2 linked regions of the Alligator mississippiensis genome follow. The protein of the gene in region 2 purifies or fractionates together with the protein of the main gene of each other region. This does not show direct contact. Links are inferred from orthologs where the notes say so. Each region holds a gene or a part of one and is shown on either strand. Other genes may lie near its edges.

The links. Proteins that work in one complex are often made in the same cells at the same time.
Region 1: the proteins of TNKS1BP1 (region 2) and CAPZB purify together in Homo sapiens (co-immunoprecipitation; 5 studies listed by BioGRID and IntAct, with this or other methods). This does not show direct contact. The link is inferred for Alligator mississippiensis from reciprocal best matches to the Homo sapiens genes TNKS1BP1 and CAPZB.

Annotation. Positions count from the first base shown.
Region 1 is NC_081836.1:5,010,006-5,020,541, reverse strand, and holds the start of CAPZB (F-actin-capping protein subunit beta), read left to right. Parts: upstream 1-6,451; 5' UTR 6,452-6,559; coding exon 6,560-6,562; intron 6,563-10,536. UniProt on the Homo sapiens protein: F-actin-capping proteins bind in a Ca(2+)-independent manner to the fast growing ends of actin filaments (barbed end) thereby blocking the exchange of subunits at these ends.
Region 2 is NC_081825.1:172,868,559-172,878,830, reverse strand, and holds the start of TNKS1BP1 (182 kDa tankyrase-1-binding protein), read right to left. Parts: upstream 3,980-10,272; 5' UTR 3,876-3,979; intron 1-3,875. Other genes in the region: FACT complex subunit SSRP1, read right to left, coding at 6,458-6,526, 6,641-6,821, 7,083-7,174, 7,440-7,610, 8,279-8,402, 9,455-9,500, 9,816-9,954.

The DNA.
Region 1 (10,536 bases), on a different chromosome or scaffold from region 2:
GTCTGTTTTTAACATTTTTGCAGGGGAGGGAGGAGCCCCAAACCTGATACCTCCTGGACAGCGTGTTGGGTTTTATTAAACGTGGCATTTTGATTTACTCATCAGAGACTGCAGTGAATGGGAAAACTGTTAAAAGAACAGATTTTACATTCCAAATGTATCCTAGGTAAAGCTGTTTCAGAATTAGCCGGGGTGGAAAGTATATTCTTTCCTATTCATATGCTGTTTTGCTACTGTGTACAAAGACTATCTCCATAGCGAAAGCTATCGGTGGGGCTGGATGTGGAATTCAAAACCACTGGGTAGTCTTGTGGGTACCTCTGAACCATGATTTTTCCTTTTCATATTTCCAAGAAGCACTCAGGTTCTTGGCCTCGAGCCAACCAATGTCACTGGTTTACCAATTCTGAGCAATAAAAACCACTGAAGCGACCTTTGCAAGGGCTAGAAATTGAGGATCTTTTAGCAAAAAACCCAAACTGAATTGTAACACAACTTCACGAGAAGCCATAACATAGGTTCATATACTTTTAAAGTTCCACAAGCTTAAAATAAAATTATAAAAAGATAGTTGGGTACTTTGACTTCAAAAACACAGTTGTTTTTTCTTTTTGCCTTTATATATGGAGAAAACATTGCATTTAAAAAACAAGCACTTTTTCCCTCTAAAATCTCAGATCCAATAAACTCTCCAATTGAGTTTCTTTGGTTCTTGCTAAACACTGGAATAAAAAGCATAGGAAGCATTTTGTTGTATATTCAACATATGCAGGAAGATGAAATGAAAAGCACATCGTGTCAGACCACAAATGTTTTGCAAAGTTCTGGCTTGAAGTGAAAAGTACTTTGTTATGCTAATAAAAAAAAAGTATTTATCCTTTTGCTTCCTTAAATATAATCAAGTATACAGGGAAACCACATGTATTTTATAGACACTGATTGCAGGATCAAAAGCCCTCTTATTAATTGCACATGAATCTGATGTTGTTGAGCTGTTAAGCTGTCAACTGAAATCACTGTTTGCTCCTTTGTTTATATTCCCCTCATTTTTAAGACACATAATGTCTGACACTAAGCCCATCAGAGCACATTCTGTTTCTCTTATGGTGGATGTTCCCATGTGTGGGAAATGCTTGCAGTTGACTGAATCCAGACCCAGTGAAACCAAGCAAGGTGCTGTTTCTGGAGGTGATAAAGCAACTAACCCACCATTGTTCTGTTCTCTCCGTCTAGTGCACAGAGCCACCAGTGCAATCTAGTGGCAAAATCAAAATCAGAAGCGTATTTTATTCTGGTATTTGTAATCCGTGCCCAGCAGCATTGACAAATCCTTTTGCCACTGGATGGTAAGGAATTTTCACGATCAGCTTCTTATCTAATTAAATGTAAAGAGATGAATAACTTCTCATCGGTAGATCTCAAAATGCTTTACAGAGGGAGCTGTCATCCTCATTTTATGGACAGGGAAGCTGAATTACAGAGGGGCCAAGTTATTTGTCCAAGGACAGACATGGAGCAAAGAGCACAGTGGGGAGCAGAATCTATGTCTGCTCTGAGCCCGTTGCCTCCAGCTGAAATCCTGCTGGGCAACCTCTGTCCCCTGGTGGAATCCAGCATCTAGAGAGCACAATGTGAGTGTAACCTCCTGCCGTTCTTTATTTAGTAGCACTTTGTACTCACTTTGCACAGATGGAATAACTATACAGAGTGCAGAACAGCCCAGAACCTGGTCCCTATCTATAAGCTCTCTGTGCTCTCACAAACTCCCGCTGCTAATAGTGTTTATCCATATTGCCTTCTGTCTCCTTCATTTCCTCATCCTGCCTTCTGGTTGCCAGAGAGACTGCCTCTTCAACTGCCGGTTGCGAGGCATCCTTTGCAGGCGACCCTACCCTGAAGTTTCTTCTCCTGGGTAATGTTTAATCCTGGATTTCATCCTGTGCTTTCCTTTGTTTTCTTCAGGTTTCACTCTTTGGTACAGCACCGTGTCAGTCCCAGGAATTTCCTTGACCAGAGACTCAGAGGATTTCCAGTTTCCTCTTCTCTCTGCTCCAGCTGCGTCTCTGTGACCTTTATATTCATGTAGCTACTACAAGAGAACTGCATAAACTCATCTCAGTCTGCTTTCAAGAACAGCAGCAAATCACTTCCGTTGAGAGAAAGCCAGTCATTGGCAAAGGTGATGCTACTGTTATTCCTCATATTGTGCCTTTAATCTGTGCCCTTTAAAAACCGTTATATGTTGATTTATTAATATTATTGGTTCCACAAAATCATAAATCCCTGTGGTATTTTATAGGCAATTTGAAAAACAATATAGGGACAACAGGATGCACAAGGGTTGCTTCTTCAGCCATGAAGTGCAACCAGCTCTAGGGAGGAACACAACTGTTTAATATTGTTGCAAAGTAGTTTCTGTGCAACGTGGAATGGAAGGCAAAAATCCTGTATCCAACTGCAAACTACAAAGGGAACTTAAGCCAAGAGCATGCCACTGCTCAGTTTTGTATTATTACCCCAGCACCTTGCAGTTAACATCATATATATTCTTGGAAATTAATACTGTGCGCTTTTTAAGGGTACCAAATTAGAAAGCCTTTTTAAATCTCTCATACTAAAGGCAATACCTTTAGATAGTATACCACTTGGAACAGTTCAGTAACAACGATGTCACTTCCTCTTGCTCTGTTTTGGCATTTCTTGGAAGCCTCCCGTTCACGAATAGCCCTAGTCCAACTTCGGTTAGCTGACAATCGCAGAAAATCACAGCAGAAGGTGGGATGGCTGCAACCACAGTTACATGCACAGACTCGCCCCTTATTCAGACATCACCCACACTGCGATTACAGCCCACCAGAAAGAGTCTGGTCCCACATTTTGATAAACAAACAAAAAAAAAAAAAGGTCTCTTAAGCATGTCCTGCCATAAACAAACAGAGCAAGCAGCTGGTCCTCATTTGAAGAGATGTTCCATCAATCTGAGCAGGAATTTGCAGATCATCTTAATGCAAATATTTTTGGGAAAACAGAAAGCAGCTGTTTATTCGTCTTTATACCTATTAGCAGGAAAACAGAATCCAGGATGCTTGTATTTCTGCCACTAAGGAAAACATCCTCTTGGCCTCAACATTCGTTTGGATTTTGGAAATTGTTTAAAATACACCCGGCTGCAGTTTCTCTCTCTCTTGCTGTATGTTCCTTTGCTGACCACAGAGGCGCAATAAGAGCCTGAGAGCAGAGAGAAGCTGTACAGCAGATCTGCTAAATTAAAAGCCTAATAATCTTTGCCTACCTCATATGAGTGTTTTGAGGCAAGAATGAGGAGGTCAAATTATTATGCAAAGTGACATAGCGCTACTGGCTTCAGTGCAGCTCTGCTGATTTACACCGGTATAGACTGTGGCTCAGGGAATCCAGTGCTGTCATTTTCAAAATGGAAATCTGTAGCTGTTTAGTGCATACTGTTTGTTAAATTCACTAAAAATGGGCACTGGCAGAGCTGCGTCCTTTTGGTAAAGTTCTAAATGGGAGCTAATATTTAATAGCATTTAGATTCAAGTCATGAACAACTGTGATAACATATTAGGGTAAAATCAGAGCTACCCCCTGGTCATTTCCTGCCAGAAGGACATATGCACATAATATTACATGGAAAAATAGAAGCCATTCATCCGAAAATACACAGTTTCTGTTACAATCTTCGTGCAAGTGTTGCCCACACCATTATCAGAGACGCTCATGCCAGCTCCCACGACATTACATCAGACAAGGAAGCATTTTGTGACTCCTCTTGTCAGGATTTCCAGTTTCCATAGAGCATGCTTCCAGGCTAAGAAAAATAAAGGAACAACAAGAGGGTTTTTGGCTCATGTTAGGGACAAGCCTGCAATTCAGATGCCAAAAAGCACCAGCAGAGGGTCCTCACAAACCTGGCACTCAAGCCCTTTTGAAACATGGGCCAAACAATTGTTCCAAGAGAACTATAGAGGAAAATGTTGCCCCATAATGGAGTGGATTCTCCCCTGGGGGTAACTCTACGGACTTTAGTTGAGTTACATCTGGGCATAAAGTCAAAACCATGTGTCAGCAGTGATTCACAAATACCAGCACACAGAGGCCAGATTCAGGATCAGTTTTGGCTCAAATAACAGGATTTAATAAATCACCTGAAACAGTTAATTAATTGTTATTTTGCTGGAAGCAGGGTGGAGTGGAGTGGTGATGTACTTTACTCACACAGACCTTGAGACTTCCTGATTTTCATCTTCTTGCATTTGGGTCCCCATATTACAAGCACTGTAATGCACCAAAGACCCGCCTAACTTTAATCAGGTACTTGCATGCTTTGCTGAATTAAGGCTTCTATTTCTTCATAAGAATGATGGGTTGCCTATGGAATGAATTAATGTTCCCTCTACGTAGCTAGGAGCTATAACTTGTGCTCCAGAATCTAAGCATAATTAATATATATTATAGGCAGCACAGACAGTGACATTTATTCTTCAAATTACCCAACACTTCCTATTGTAAGATCCAGTTCCCATCACTTTGCCAAAATGCTAGTGGCTTGCACTGGAATTTTCTATGCTAGGTGTTTGCGTCAGGCTGATTTTTTTTGGAAAGGTTTTGTTAAATACTTTCAGATATTCCCCAGAATGAGATTAAACGGACCTCTTGTGCTCTGCTCATGTAAAAATCATTCATACAATTGTTTAATTGAGAAGCTGTAGTACCTTAATGCTTTGAAGCAGAGGCTTACAGTTTAGCACGTGGTGTGGTCATCAGGTGTCAGGGATATGCCTCTTGATGTTCCTGGGGTGAAAAAAGAAAACACATGAATTTTTATCCGAGTTATAAACTTTGAAAAAAAAAAAGCTCAGCTCACACCTTTTCGGGAAAGGTTTGCTAGAGTCTGGCAGCTAAATTCCATGAATGTTTCATCTGCTCTGAAAAAGTTTTATTTTGTTTTAGCTCCTACATGCCTATGAAGCTGAGCATACTACATCCCGGCGATTTACGGATTAAGCAGGACTTTCCCTAAAATTGAATCTTTAAAAACTGCTTTAGAGCCAGATACCAGGTCTGAGGCTAAAGACATGGTCTTTCCCGTGCTCTCACCTTCCCCCCCTTGGCACCCAGGCTAACTTAGAAGAAAGCTTTCTGAGGGAGGCAGGGTGACTGGAATTGGCTGGACAAAGAGCATCGGGGGGAATTGGGGAATCAGAATGCAGGATTTAGGATAAGGAGTCAGCAGTGGTGAAATGTGACTGGGACAGTGGAGTGGGGGAAGACTGGGACTGGGACAGTGGAATGGGAAACTAGAACAGACTAGACAAAGAGACATACTGAAACGGGAAGGCAAAGATGGTAGAAACTGGAACTGGCTAGGAGTAAAGAGAACGAGTCAGAGCTCAGTGGGTGGAGGAAGGAGGGACAGTACGAGACAGAACAGGGACGGGCGGGAGGGGCAGGATTCAGGGTACCAGGAGCAGGCCGACCTGTTCTTCCCTCCAGACTAGAGCCCGGATGAACCCAAGACGTGGGAGTCTCCCCACCCCCCCGCCTGCTATCAGCACCTCACCGAGAACCACTAGCAGGGCGTGCGCCTCATCCCCCTTCCCACTGCCTCCCAGGAGGGCGACAGCCTCCTACTACCATTACTTCCTGCTTTGTCCTCAGTGGCAGAAGCCAGAGCTTCCCAGTGGCGGAGGCTGGGGTCACAGCGGGTGCAGGCTGGGGGGGTTCCACTTTCCCAACTTGATTTTATTTTTTAATTAAAAACCTAACTGACCTCTCCCCCTTCCCCGCTTTTCACCCTTGCTGCCCCAAAGCACTACCCAGTGCGCACAATCCCTGTACAACAGGCTGCTAGAGTCTGCAGAGAGCCTGAGCCCCTTGCTGCACCAGGACCAACCACCCTGAACCTAGGGCGTGTAACGTTGCAGTGTCCCTCCCTATTGGCCTCTCCCGTCTCCCCCTGTTCTCTTCCCTATTGGTCTCTCCCGGTCCCCCGCCAGTCCCCTCCCTATTGGTCTCTCCCGTCCCCCCGTTCCCCTCCCTATTGGTTTCTCCCGGGCTTCCCTGTTCCCCTCCCTGATTGGGCGCTCTGTTCTTCCCCCCCTCCTTGGAGTTGGTTGCTTCCCCCTGTCCTTTTCCCCTTCTTCCTCAGCCCCTTGGTGTCTCCTCTCCCTGATTTAATTTCCTTTCACCCATTTAATGACTCAGGTTGTTCTTTCAGTTGGGCTCATCCCTCCATTCAACCCTGCTTCTTTCTATCTCCACCCCCCTCCAGAGAAGAGAATGGTCTCTCCCAGCGCCCCGCTCCTTCCCCTCCCCTCCAGAACGCGGGCCGCTCTCCATACTTGGCGATGGCCGGCAGCCCGCGCTCTGATTGGCCCGGGTGGCGGCGAGGGGCGGGGCCGGGGCCGGGGCCGGGCGGCTGTGACCCGGATGTTCACTCCTAGGCAACGGCGGAAGTGGAAGGGCCGCGGCCTGGCTCAGACGCAGACCGGACGGCCCCGGGAGTCGCCAGCGCCCAGCCCCGCCCCGCGGAGACATCATGGTAAGGGGGGGCCTGGCAGGGCCGGAGCCGCGCTCCCGGGGTCCCTCCTGGCGGGGGCTGCGGGGAGAGGTGCCTGCAGGGCCGGCCTGAGCCGCGGGGCTGGGCACGGCCGGGCTCCGGCTGCTCGCAGGGAGGCAGGTGTTGAGGGCAGGCCGAGGGGAGGGCGGGCGGAGCTTACTTGCAAAGCACAACTTCTCGGAGAGACTTCAGGGGTTGAGGAAAAAACCCCAGAACAACCAACCAAACCCCCAAGGTGTTTCTTCATCTTGGCCTCAGCGACCTGGACGCGAGTCTCCGGAGCGTCCCATCCTCTGCGTTGTGTTTCATTGCGCTGTCACCGAAAAGCAAACGCCGGCCCGTGACCGAAAACCGTAGCAAAGGAGGGCTGGAAGGGGCCCGCCGCCGAGGTCGCGCCTAGTCCGACCCCTGCCGCTTAAGCGCCTGGTTGTCCTACGTAGGTGCCGTGTGCGGCGGAGAAGGGCTGCCAGCGTCGCGTCCGCGATCGATTTGCGAACGCCGAATGGTGGCTTTGGGTTGACGCGTGTCGGTGACGCGCATTCATGATGGGGCTGGTCTAGTGTGTTTTGGATTTGGTAGATGTGCGTAGGACGAGCTGAATCTGTGGCGTGGACGTAAGTCGAGGGCGCTGTTACCTCCGCAGCCTGTTGCACGTCTGATGTTGAACCTGTCGTGGGAACGATGGGAGCAGGCTCGGGCGAGGACGTCTGAGGGGTGTTTTGTGAATGGAATCGTGCATTTCCTCGATCTTTGAAAGCTGTTTCAAAGACTCTTAAAATAAACGGGTAGTAATTTGACTGTTGCTTAAGATAGCAATGAGCACAAGAGTAGGAATGGTAATTGACCAAGGGTCTTACGCTACACTCGTCGGTCTGTACAGGTCCATCTGTCTGTGCAGAGTCTGCTTAAGGCAGGGGTGGGCAAAATACGGCCCGTGGGTTGGATGCGGCCTGCCAGGCCATTCCATCTGGCCCGCGGGGCCCCTAAAAAATTTATAAAATTAATATATATTGGCCCCTGGCTGCCTGTCACGCGGCCCTAGATGGCTCGTCAAAACTCAGTAAGCGGCCCTCCACACGAAATAATTGCCCGCCCCTGACGTAAGGCAACCTGACACCGTTCCTTGCGTGAAGCTCCCTGTATCCACAAACTTCTAGGATTCGAAAGTGGTGCTGTTATAGTGTAATTCTTCCAGTTGAATGTGTAAAGGCCACGACTAGAAGATCTGTCGATCGCTAGATCTATCGATCGCTGTCGTAAAACGCTGTAAAACGATATTGCCTGTTTTGAGATCTTTTCTATGCAGTGAGCATCTGAGTCCTTGTCACACTGACAGGTTCAAGAAGTTTGAGGCAGTTATTTCATTTTTCCCTCAAAACAGCGGGTAATGAGGAGCTTGCACTTGTTTTACACACAATGATATTGAATATATTGTCATCACAAGGCCTAGAGGCCTTAACCAAGATGGAGACTCTTTTGTTACCAAATACTGTACAAGCACATAATGGGAGTCAGTGTCTCCAGCTTAAACAAGGGGCAGGGGAAATAAACAGAGACATTATTTCAATTTGTGCATAAAATAGGTCTTTTCAGAGCACTAGGTTCAGGGTCTCATTCACATACTTGGAGTTAAACATTTGGAATATCAATGGAATCATAGAAAGATGGGGATGGAAAGGCCCTCGAGATCATCTAATCCAAGCCTCTGTTCAAGGCTGGGTTATTCCTTTCTAAACGATCACAGTCAGATGTTTGTCTAGCCTTCATTTAGGAGATTCTAGTGACAGGTTCTGCAACTGTTGGGTAATTTGTTCCAGCACTGAATAGGTAGAAGTTTTTTAATATCTAACCTATATCTTGTTGCAGTTACAGGTGTCATCCTCACTTCTGTCATGGTCCAGGCCCACAGCAAAAACTCATGAGAATGAGTAGGTTTTGTTGAGTACCGTAAATATTAAAGCTTATCTTTCTCCGGGGGGTGAGAGAACATTTTCTCAGTAGAATTTTTGCCTCTTAAAAGAAGAGTCCAGCTTGAATACCTCTGCACATTATAACTGGGAGTATTGCATTTGGGGAAAGGCATGTCTCCAGCCACTTTGAATTTGATTGATGCCTTCAGTTATACCCCAAAAAGCAATGGTCAGCCATGCTAAATATTTAATAACAGTGGAGATCACCAGGCACGTGTCCTTCATGCTTGGGACAAGAGAACCTTTTCAAAATTCTGTACTAGTCCCTGCTTTTTGAGAGGACTTGAAACATGAACACATTTGCAGCCGTGTTGTTGCGTGATGCATCATTTTGGCTGACTCGGTACATTTTGGATCAGCTGGATTTAGTAGATGTGCATAGGATAAGACGGATCTGTTCCTAAGTGCCATTTTAAGTTCAGTGAGAGATACTAGTTTTAAATCTAAACACATTCCTCTCCCTCCCCCTTGTGCTCTGCCCCAGGTCCCTCTTGGAAAAGATCACAGAACACTTGTTCTAGCTGCTCTGGAAAGTTGAAAGTCCCAGTTGATCCTGCTGGGTTTAGACTCATAGTTCTTGGGGTGCCTAGCCATTTCGGATGCCATAGTCCAGCCAGCTGTTGGATGACCAGTATCAAACATGGTGCTTAGACCTGCCTCGTCTCTCTTGGTTTTAAAAATAGTGTTTTGCCCTGAGGGATGCCATAAGTATACTTCAGGGTGTGTAGAGTTAGGGAGTATTCCAGCTGTGTATGTCCTCCAGTGGGTACAACCCAGTCATTGCTTCTATAATGAAAAGCTTCCTTTTCAGACTGTGTAAACTAGGGAGTATATGCAAGGTGCTCGATAAACTGTCCTGGTAGTACTCGCAAACATCTCGTTTTTCTTGTGTGTGCAAAGAGTAAACAAAATCTGAGCAAGATGTTAACATCAAACAAAGGTAAAATTGTATAGTGGGTGGCAGCTCCATTTAATTTGTTACGGCTTTTGGTCATTTGCAAAAAAAATTGTTAGAATGTGTTGCAGCAGCTAAGAAGCACTGAAGCACAGCTGTGATGCTTGGAATGATGCTGATACCACGAGATATAGTTTTGGTGTGCCGTTCTGAGTACTTACTTTTTTTGGGGAAGGGGCTATTTGTCTTATTGCAAGCACACTTGACAAATAACTGTACAGAACAGTGTTTGGATGGTTTAGTTTCTTTTTAACTACTTAAAGCATTTTTTTTTTTTCAAAGCATCTGAAAACTGAGCCCTTCTTTTAGGGGAGTTAAACCAATCTTGCAAACACAACCTGTAGTGTTAAAGCCAGTAATCTGGTTTGTACATCTTCTGTGCTCCTGAGCTAGTTTTTTGCACCGCATGCTTTGGGAACACTGACTGAAGGGATCTTGTGCAGTTCATATTGCATTAGGCAAGTTTAGATATGTAAACTAACTACACATTATCTTAATTTTTTTGGAAATTTGCCTTTTAAATTAGTCTGAGACTGTCCTTTGGGATATCCATTTTCCGGTGATAAAAGCTAAGGTGAATTCATAGCGATATTGTCATAATTCCACATGACATTTCTTACTCTCTTCTAATTTACTAATCTGTGGCAATCTTTCTCCAATACATTAGAATAATTCAAGCATGACTCTGCTATTTGTAATAGAAATCTGTTATCAGTGTGCTTCTCAGTTTCCAGAAGGAAAACAAAATAAAAACACACTGTAAGTATATTGGATTTTATGTCTATTTTTAGCAGATAGTACAGTACTTGCACAGAGGAATGACTCCTTTTGGGAGAGAAGTATTGCTGCCCTATTAAGTTTCTTCTTGTACTGTTGTCAGCTATGCTTTCTGCCCATTTGCTTTGCTCTGTAAAGGACAGCTGATTAATTCTTTACCCTTACACTTCAGGGATGAGCAGACAACACTCCTGTGGGGGCAGCTGAACATGTTACAAGGATTGACTGTGCAGCATAGCAGTCCAGATCAGGTC
Region 2 (10,272 bases):
TGTCCTAGCACAGCCAAGACTGGACACCATCTCGGAGTCTCCCCTGACCCCAGGCTCAGCCCACCCCCCTCCTCCTGCACAGCTACTAGGGCATGACCACTCCCAGGCCAGCAAAGTGCCAAGGCAGGGGCCAAGAAAGCAACTGCATAAAGCATGGGGCAGGCTGTAGGGAATTGAGCCATGAGCAGGACCCAATGACCCCCTTCTATCTTACCCCCCCCACCTTGTGCCCTACACCTCCTACCCCACACACTGCCCCAATCACTGTTCCCCCCCTTTCCCCGATGCACACCCCCTATCCCAATATGTAGACACTCCTTCTACACTGCATCCCCTCCCTAGACCCCAATTTGTCCCCCAGTGGTGCTGATACCCCAACTCTCCATCCATACTATGACCCCTCCATAAACCCCAACACAGCCCTGCCTGTAGTGCCAAAAGCCACTGAATATCCAACCACACTGTGCCCCCTCCTGACACTGACTCACCTCAAAACTGCACCAGTATCTGTCCTTCCCTCTGCACTGGGTCCCCTCCCCATAACCCAATTCATCTGTCCCACGGGTGCCAACATCCTTACCTTCCACCCACGCTTCACCCCCCCCCTGCCCCCCCCTCCCCATAATGTCCATATCCCTTCTTGCTCCACAAGTTCAGAACTTATATTCTCAGGCTTTCCTCCAATAACTCCTCCTGCTTTTCCCCACCACTGAGAAAGCATTGGCTGGGCACTGCCCAGTCTCCCTCTTCTGGCATCACCTGGGCTTCTGACTTAGTCACCCCCAGTGACGTGCAAAGCTGTAGTACAATCTCACAGATGAGTGAGTGAGTCTCAGTCATTCTACAGACTATGGACCATCAGACTACTCTGAGCCAGGACCAGGGTCCAAATATGGCCTCTCCTAAAGCCTGCCGAGGGGTGCATTGTCCAATAAAGGCATTCCTGGAAGGAGTCTGTCCTTCCTAAACCTTACCCCCTCTCCACTGGGGGAACCCCACACATGCCCCTGAACTCACCCTGCCAGCCCCCATCAGGAAAGCATGCCCGAGTATTTGTCCCACAGAGCATCTCTCCAGCCATGTCCCCAGGCACTCTCTCTCAGCCAAGTGCTAGATGCAGCCAAGTGCGGCACAGCACCATTCAATTAGAGCACATTCTGTCCCCAGGTGCAGAACCAAGTGGGAAGAGAATTAGGCAAGATGAAAGACCTGCCAGATGGCCCCAGAGATAGCAGAGAGGGAGAGGGGGTCACAATGGGGGGCATCCTGAGAAGGCAGATCAAGGGGGACAAGTGGAGAAGAGCTGATTTATGTTTCCTGGGCTGGGCAGTCCCTGGAAAAGGGGCTCAAGGCAGGAAAGGCTGAGCTGAAGGGAAGCCAGGCAGCATTTTCTACCCAGGTGGGAACATAGAGAGTGGATCCAGACCTCTGAAGAGAGAGGGGAACCAGGAACTCAGAAGAGGGGGAATATAAGGGGCAGGGGCAGAGCACATCTCCTAGCAAAGGGCTCTAGGAAGAGGGGGACAGATCAGGCCAAAAGATACCTTGACAGGAGAGAAGGCCGTGGGCGTAAGAGAGGCTCTTGGTGGGGGACAGTCATCCTTCTCATGAGTTCATTCAGGCCAGGCCCATGCTACAGGTGTTGGCCCAGGGGCATCAAGAGCCATAGTATTAGCCAAAGCCTGTTTTCACTAGCACAGCTGGTTTTGATGGAACAAGGATTGTTACATCAGTACAAAACACCACTTTACTAGGCTGTCCACGTCCACACTAAGAACACAGACAGCACAGCAAAGCCCACTAGCATCCCTGTAGCAGCAGGGTGCTCCTGGTACAGACACAGGCCTGGTCTATGCTGGAAAAAGCTTTGCTGTCAGCAACCTCCTTCCTATCTACAAAAGATCACTTCTGCCAGAAGAGTTTATACCATCCCCAAAGGGATGCAGTCTCCCAAAAGACCAAGCCAGCATGCCTGTGTCTATGCTACAAGGATGTATTTGGTAGCTGTGCTGGTCTGAGACAAAAAGAAATGCAAAACTTTGCAAGTTTATTTTCTACCTATGGGGACTTTTACCATCTTCCCTCAGCTTGAAAAAGGGTACATGTGCCCAAATGCTTGCAAAAAAAGATAATTTTTTTGCAATGTCTTAGTCTTATAAAAGGTATCATCTCTGAACCAAGAGTTCTAGAGTTTTTAATTTCTTTGCGTCTATGCTAGACATTTCAGTTGCCTAGCTGTATTGGTCAGGGACCACAACTCTTCACCTTCTGACCAACAGAGCTATAACCAGCAGCAGACTACAGCACAGGCCTGACTCTACCACATGCCTGTTGCTACCATCAGCGCTCAGGTCACCCTGAGAAGTGGGCATAAGGGAACCAAGGCGAAATGAGAAGAAAGCCCCAGCTATCTCCAGGGTCGAGAGCAGGGGACTCCCAGCAGAGGACGAATAGCGTGTAGCATCAGACCAGGAATATTAGAGCAAGAACCCTCAGATACAATGACTAGGAGCCAAAAGTTCACCTGTAGTAGAAGGGCAAAGGCAAAGAGATGGAGCCTTCTGCTCCTGCCCCAGAAAGGAACAGCTCACTAGCAGCTTGGTGGAAGGTAGTTGGGAGCCACAATCAAAAGGAAACTGAGTGAAACCAGCTCTAGGGACTGAGAGACCGAGTGGGGCAAGCCCAAGCATCAAGGCTTAGTGGTGCCATCACTACAGCAGCAATGCCAACTCTCACAAAACAGTTGTGAGATTCCCGATTTCCAAATCAAATTAACGCTAACTCATGATCTCAGGATATAACCCTCAAATCACAGGACTTTTCTACTGGCGCATAGAGTGCACCCAGCTGGTAAGTTTGTGGAGGGGAAAGGAAGTGGGGGCAGATCGAGGCCCCTATGGTGAGGGAGGGAGTGGGGTAGGAGCTGGGGTTAATGGGGCGCACTGGCCGCGCAGCATGTCCCCTGACAACAGGAAACATACTGGCACTGTGTGGCTGAGCTCCTGGGGCAAAGGCACCAAGGCACAGAGCTCTGAGCCTGCAGCCTCTCTCTGCCTCGTGGGGGGCACATGAACTCCATGCCTCCCCGGGGGTGTGCACAGCTGTGGGTAGCTGCCCCCCACCCCTGGATGACCTGCCCTGGCTCTGGGGCCACATTTATCCCAGCCCCTGCCTCACTCCTTCTCTCACTACAGGGGCCAGATCAAAGCCCCTTCCCCTCCACTTACCAGCTGGGTGCTGTCCCTCTGTGTGTCCGTGTGTGTGTGTGTCTGTGTCCGTGTGTGTGTCCCTCACTCCCAAGCCACAGCCCCCCCAGCCTTGCTGCTGCCCCTCACTCCTGACCCACAGTACCCCACATCCTGCTAGTACAGGCAGGGCCCCCCACCCTCATCCCCCAGCTCCTTCGTAAACAACCCCTGACACACGCACACACTTCAAAAATAGCATCGCATGATTTACATGCCAATCTCTTGATTTTTTTTTTAAGTGTTTGTCTCATGACTTGGCATGGTGGGGTTGCAACGCAGCTACAAGGAGCCAAGCCCCGGAGGCAGGAACAGGAACATTCCTCCGCCTCCCCAGCCCCAGAAAACCTGGCAAGGGGCGCGCTGTGTGCACTGCACCGCACCGCACCGCAGCGCCCTCCCGCCCGCCTTGGCACCAGCCTGTGCCCCAAGGGCCCAGGGGCGCGCGGATCACACCCGGGGCGGCCCCGCCCCGGCCCGGGCCTGGGGCCCGCACCCGCCTGCGCGCGCAGCCGCACGCGTAGGCCCCCCCCCGCGCCGCCCCCGGCCTCAGCCCCGCGGCACCCCGCCGCCCCGGCCAGCCGGCCGGGCGGGCGGGCACGCACGGGGTCCCGCACCCCCGCCGCTCACCCGCTAAGCTCCGCGCCGCACCGCCCGCGTCCTCCACCCTGCATATTCATGAGCCCCGCCCGCCCCTGCTGCATATGCATGAGGCGCGCGGCTGCCGCCCGTAGCCCCGCCCCGCTCACGTGTCGCCAACATGTCATGGCGGGCCGGCTGCGCAAGCCGCGGGAGGGGGGCGGGGCTCCGCTGTGCCATTGAGGGCGGCTAGAGCGGCCCCGCGGCTGCCCCAGGTCCAGGCGCCTGCAGCCCCCCCCGGCGGGGGGCTCCGACCATGCAGGAGCTAGGGCTGTAGCTCCGTCGTGCCCAGGGGCGCTCCTCGCGTGTCGCCCCCCCGCGCCCAGGGCCCGTCCCGCACAGCTTGAGCAGCTAAACCTGGTGCGGCACGCTTTAACCAGTGCGTTAGGAATTTTAAACCCAAAATTTACACCCCGGCTTCTCAACCCCTGCCTGGGAGACAGCCTCCCTTCAACTTACTTAGGGATGACCCTACCTCGAGGGCAGGACGGGACTAGATGGCCCTTGCAGCCCGCCTTCCCTGGGGCCCCCTCTGGAGGGCAAGCAGGATCGTGGTGCTGGAGCTCTAAAGCTAGTTCAGGTGAAGCCCCTCCACTCTTGCACCCCTCCACACAATCACCCCCGCCGTCCACAGCTCTCCCTGTCCTGCTCCCCAAAGCCTGCCCGAGCTGCAGCGACAAACAACGGAAGCTGGGGCAAGCACTTCTCAGTACACTGGATGCAAAACCTTCTCTTCAACATGCCCCCTCTCCCAACAGCCACCCACTATCACACCAGTGTTGAGCAGCCCTCCCCACAACTTCTGTATGTTACCCAACACCACCCTGTACTCCTTCCTTCTGCACCCAGAAAGGAGGCAGCACCCCCTGCAAAGTGAGGGAGAGCCCCCAGTGCTTTATCTGGCTCACAGGACCAGTATAAAGACAGGTGCATGCTGCCTGGATGGAGGAGTTGCTTTAGCTGCCATTAGCGCATCTCCTTCCCAATTAACTGCTGGCAACTGGGAGGTTCCAGTAAATAACCTCCAGAAAACTAAGCTGATGGAAATGGGAGCCTAGGGAATTTCATAAGCAGGGCATCCTCCATCTGCACAAATATTAACCTCCGGCTGGCTGGCTCGGAAGGGCCCCAGGCTGCCTAGCACATTCCACCTCCCCTCCCCCTCACCAGGCACAGCTCTCTTCCCCCTCTCCAAGAGCTCCAAAGACAGTTCTCAGCAAGACAGCTCAGCACTGATTCAATTAAAGAAGACAGAGAAGCAGCTCTGCGTCACAGGTGATGGGAAATGGAGCCGGAAGGTCTCCTGTAGCTCCTCTAATGGAGTACTGAGGTCCGGTAATAGGCACTAATCTGATCAGGACGCATTCCCCAGGTCAGATTAGCACGCCTTGGCAGGAACGTAGTGGGGAGAGAGCTGTAATGGAAGTAGACCCATCCATCTGCTGATCCACTTTACAGAGCTTCTCCCCCTCCTCTCCTGGCTGTTACTGATTAAGAGGATAAGAGCTACAGGCCCAAAGGTGGAGTAGAAAATGACACTAAATCGCCGGGAGATGGGGAAGGGCAGAAATGGCAAGATGTAGCCTCCTCCTTATGCCTCCTGCATGGTAGGGCAGAGCTGAGCTCCTGATTCCACCTGTCTGCAGCAGGGGTGGCTGATTTAAGTCCTCCTTGAAAGTGGCAGTGGTACCAGATGGTAGTCTGCCCCTCCCTCCTGGGAGTTAGGGCAGAGCCCCCAAGCTCATCTTAAGACTGCTCTCTATTGACTGCCTGCCTCCATTAGGCTGCTCTGAAAAGGCTAGATGGCCCTTTAACACAATTAGGGCTGCTGCAGCCACCTGCAGGGGCCAGCAGTCTTAATGGAAGGCAGTAAGATAAGGCTCTGGCCCCAACTCAGCATTGTGGGGAGTGTCACACACGCACCGAAGTGCCAGAGATATGCACCTGGCACAAGCAAACCTGGCAGGTCCCCTATGGGTGAGGGTGTAGATCTCTCTTGGGCAGACACAGCTCTTTGTCTGTGTCCCCACTCATTCCATCCCTCTTTGTTTACCCACAAAGAAGCTCTGTCCAAAGACACTTGATTTTTAATTCAACCCATGTGGCAGCCCAGAAATACAAAAAAAAGAAACAAATCGGAACATAAAAACACTGATAGGGCAAGAAAGCGAGGGGCCTAGGAGCCCTTGCAGCCACCTCCCCAACACTCCCCCACCACACTCTTCACAGCCTATCACACAAAGGACCCCCCAAGTAACCTTCAGTGACATGCAAAGAAAGGAAGTGTGTGCTTCCTAAACCCTCACCAGCAGGAGCTGTGAAGGATGGTAGAGCTCAGGGAGCAGGACACAGCAGGAGGTGGCTGGGGCCAGGGCAGAGGCATCAGGGAAGGAGCAGAGCCAAGGTCTGGTTCTAGCCAATGGTGTAGACCTCAGTATGACACCCACCCCTCCAGTCCTCCCAGTTGGATGACGGGAAACCTGGGTGCAGAGGACTGGGCCTTGCCCTGCTGACCTAAGAAGAGTGCCATTGGCTCAAGGGGCAGGGCTGAAGGGAGGGCAGGGGTAGGTTCTCTAATCTGAGCCAGATGCTGAGTCCTCTGAGCTGGGGGGTGTGCTGGCAATCTCCTCCTCCTCCGAGTCCTGGGGGAATGCATGAAAAGAGAGAGTCAGCCGGTGACACATGCAAGAGCCATGGGTACAGCAGCCAGCTGGAGGATGGGGCCCCCCACCCATGGAAGGCAGTGCTGCACCTACCTCCTTCTTGCTCTCGCCTGAGGAGCTTTCATCACTGGAGACAAACTCCTTGCTCTTGAAGCTTTCAGTGGTGGGCTTGACTGGGGACTTCGAAGATGGAGACTTGGAAGACACCCCCTTCTTCTCCACTTTCCCCTTCACCTGTTTCTCCTGCTTCTTCTTCTTCTTTTTTGACTTCTCCCTAAATACAAGAGAGCCACCGGGCACAGAGGTTACCCACAGCCACCACCTGGGTCCCTGCCTCTGGGATGGTAGAGCCATGGGGGACTTGCTCACCCCACCCTGGGGAAGTGCCCAGGCTCCACCATAATGGGAGGGAACAGAAGTCATTCACCACAATCTCGCTCACCTTCCCCGGGCAGAATGGGTCCTCCAAAAGGAGACATGACTCCTTATCACTCCCACCCTCCCCCCTGGGTTCCCCAAAGGCTGGTGCACTCACGTCCTGGAGCTCTCTGATTTGCCCCCAACACTGTATTCTTTCATGGCCTTCTCATAGTCTCTCTTGGCATCTTCTGCCTTGCGTTCCCACACCTGTTGGAAGTGCAAAGCGTCAGTCACAAACCCACAACAGCAATTCCACCCCTGCCCCCCACCCAACATGCTGCTACTCCTGCACCATACACCATCCCACCCCCAACTGGCAATCTCACAACTCAGCAAGCCACCCAACCATCCTAAGGGCCAGAGGATGGCATCCCCCAAGCACAGACCTACCAACACCATCCTGGCAGCCCCGTCACACCCACACTACCCTAACAATTCAAACATGCTACCACAGCTCCTCCCAGTCCTTTACCTCTTTCTTCTCCCTGGACATGGCCTTCCAGAGCTCCCCAGCCTTCTTGGACAAGTCAGTGATGCTGATGCCAGGGTGGTCTGATTTTATCTTCTCACGACTAGCATTTAGCCAGAGCATGTAGGCAGACATTGGCCGCTTAGGGGCATCGGGGTCCTTGCTTTTCTTACCCTGGGACAGTGGAAGGGGGCAGCAAGGGAGGGAGAAGGGGAAAGAGAGAGAAGCAGCATGAGATCCCCTTAGAGCTCATGGGCTCAGAGGACCTCCTCATAGCAAGGGCTGAGGTCATTCCCCACTCAAGCCCCATTAACAGCATGGCTAGAGTGGGACACCCCCTCCCACAGCCAGGACATCCACTGGGCCCCAGCAACACAAGCCCTTTGGAGGGGAATTATTCCTGATGGAGCTCTACCTGGACAGAAAATTGCTATTAGGGCTCAGATGATACACTGAGCTGACAGAACTGGACTGGCAGGGGTGGAGGGAGGCTACAGAGCTATCCTGGGCTTGGCAAGTGGGCCACAAGCAGAGTCTAAGTCAAAGTCACCCCCTCTACAGACTGGTCACTGCCTTGTGGGAAGTCAGGTCAGGGGGAGCAGGAGTGTCAGACCAGCTTCCCAGAGCTCAGGGTACTCACTGGCCACGTCAGTAGCATGAAGACCTGGGTCTTCACGTGCCAACAGAGGATCCCTGCAGGGCAGGAGCAAGGCAAGCTAGTGAGGAGTGAAGCTGACACTCATCCTCCCAGGACAGAGGATGTTGCTTGGTTGTAGAAAGCACTGGGGACCACTGCATCCAACCCCATCTCGTTTCTCCCCTTGCCTGGGCACAGCCCTCACCTCCAACTGTTTCTTGCGAGGTTTGCGCTCCCTGACAATCTTGGCCTTCTTGGCTGGTTTCTTCTCGTCACGGTCACTGTCACCATCACCACTAGAGGAGCTGGCTGAGGGATGGCTGTTGAATCTGCAGGAGGAAGCATCAGCTGGGAATCAGCCCCATGCCCAGAAGAGTTACTGGGGGCAGGGATCGCAAACTCCAAGAAGGTGCTTTAGCGAGGACAAAAATGAAGGTTATCTGGGGGCATGACATAAAGAGGCCACCTCTGAGACCTTAGCTATAGGGGTAGATGCATTTTACACAGAAGCCAGCCCTTACCCAGAGAGAAGCCAGGGCCTAGCCTGTCCCTGGGAACAAGCTGTAATGTCTTGTTCTGGTTCTGCAATTCTCCAATAGGGCCCTGTACCCTCCCCTCATCTTTCCCCCTTGAGGGACTCCCAAGTGAGTGGTGACCTCAAAGAGCAAGCCCCTTGGCCTGTTTTCCTGCTCTCTCAGGAATCCCTCTGGCCAAGGTACAATCTAAGAACATCAGCTCTCATCAAAAGACCATTCTGAAGCACAGAGCCTGACCAAAGACAAGAGGAAAGACCAAACCTCATACCTCATCGCAGTGCCTGGGATGGGCACAGAACATCAGAGCCCTTGTCCCAGGGTGTTAGGCACCTTCCCCCAAAGAACTTATAGGTAGCTAGCTCAAGAACTTTAGATGCAGACAGAACCTGCTACAGAAATGCAGCCAGATCAGAGGGGAAAGATAGTAGCTGCTTCCTTGCTTGTGGCAGTGCTACAATGGGGGCAGAAAGTGAAGAATCCAACTGGAGCCTCACTAGTTAGCCAAGCCACATTGCTCAGGTGCTGCTTTGCTTAATATTCCCCGCAACTCCTGTGAAAAGCCCCAGCAGAGGGGCAAGCAGGTCAGTCTCACATCTCCTAGAGAAGATGGCACTGACAGCATCCCCTGTCAAGATTCCCTCCTACCACTAAGCCAGGGATCTAGAACTGGTGGGCACTGTGAGGGGTAGGCACCTATGCCAAGCCATAGCACCCTCAACCACCACAGCCAGGCTGGCACTGGTAGCACCACTTAGGCCATGCCAAGAGCGTATCAAGGGACACCCACCTACCCATCCACCCAGAAATAGGAACAGCCCCCCCCCCCCCCCCCAGCCCCTACTCACTCCTCTGCCACATCATCATCCTCCTCCCCAGGGTTGAATGACTCATCTGGAAGAAAAAGCATACAAGTCAGTCTGACTGCTGGGGGTCATGGCAGGCTAGGCAGGAGGTACACAGCAGTCACCCAGCAGTGGAAGCTCTCAGGAGTCTGGGAAAGGACCAAATAAAGGAGACAGGACCTCCCCACTCCGCACCACTGAGACTGAGTCAATAGCCCCAACCACCCACCGCAAGGAGGCAGAATCTCCCAGGTCTCAGCTAGGGAGAGCTCTCAGCTGCAAGGAGAGGAGCACTAGGAAACAGTCAGCACCAATGCTGCTCCTGCCCCACCTATCCCACCCTACCCGAAGGCAGGGCCCTCACCTGTCTCTTCCCCAGACTCATCGCTGCTGTCATTGGCATTCTCCTCACGGATCTTGCCCTCTTCCTTCATCCTCTCCAGGTAGGCGTCATGCTGGTCCTCATCTGAATCAGCATATTCATCGTAGCTCTGCTTGATGTCCTGGAGCACCATGGGGAAGCAGTGAGTGCTGCTCTCCACCCTTTCCCCTTTCCCACCCTCAAAGAGGGGCAGACAGACACTCTCCTCCCCACCCTAGCATGCGGAGAACCTAGAACTACAACTCCCAGCATGCTCCTGGGCACTGCCCTGACCCTAGGAGTCAACTCCACACATGGTGGCCCCAGCACTCTGAGCAGAGGCGGCATGCAGTCCACAGACGAAGGTCAGCACACGTCCAGCGTGCCCCTCGCTCTGGGGACGGTGCGGGGAACACCAGTGGTGTGAACTGGGGTAAGTGAAGCCCACTCAAGGGGAAAA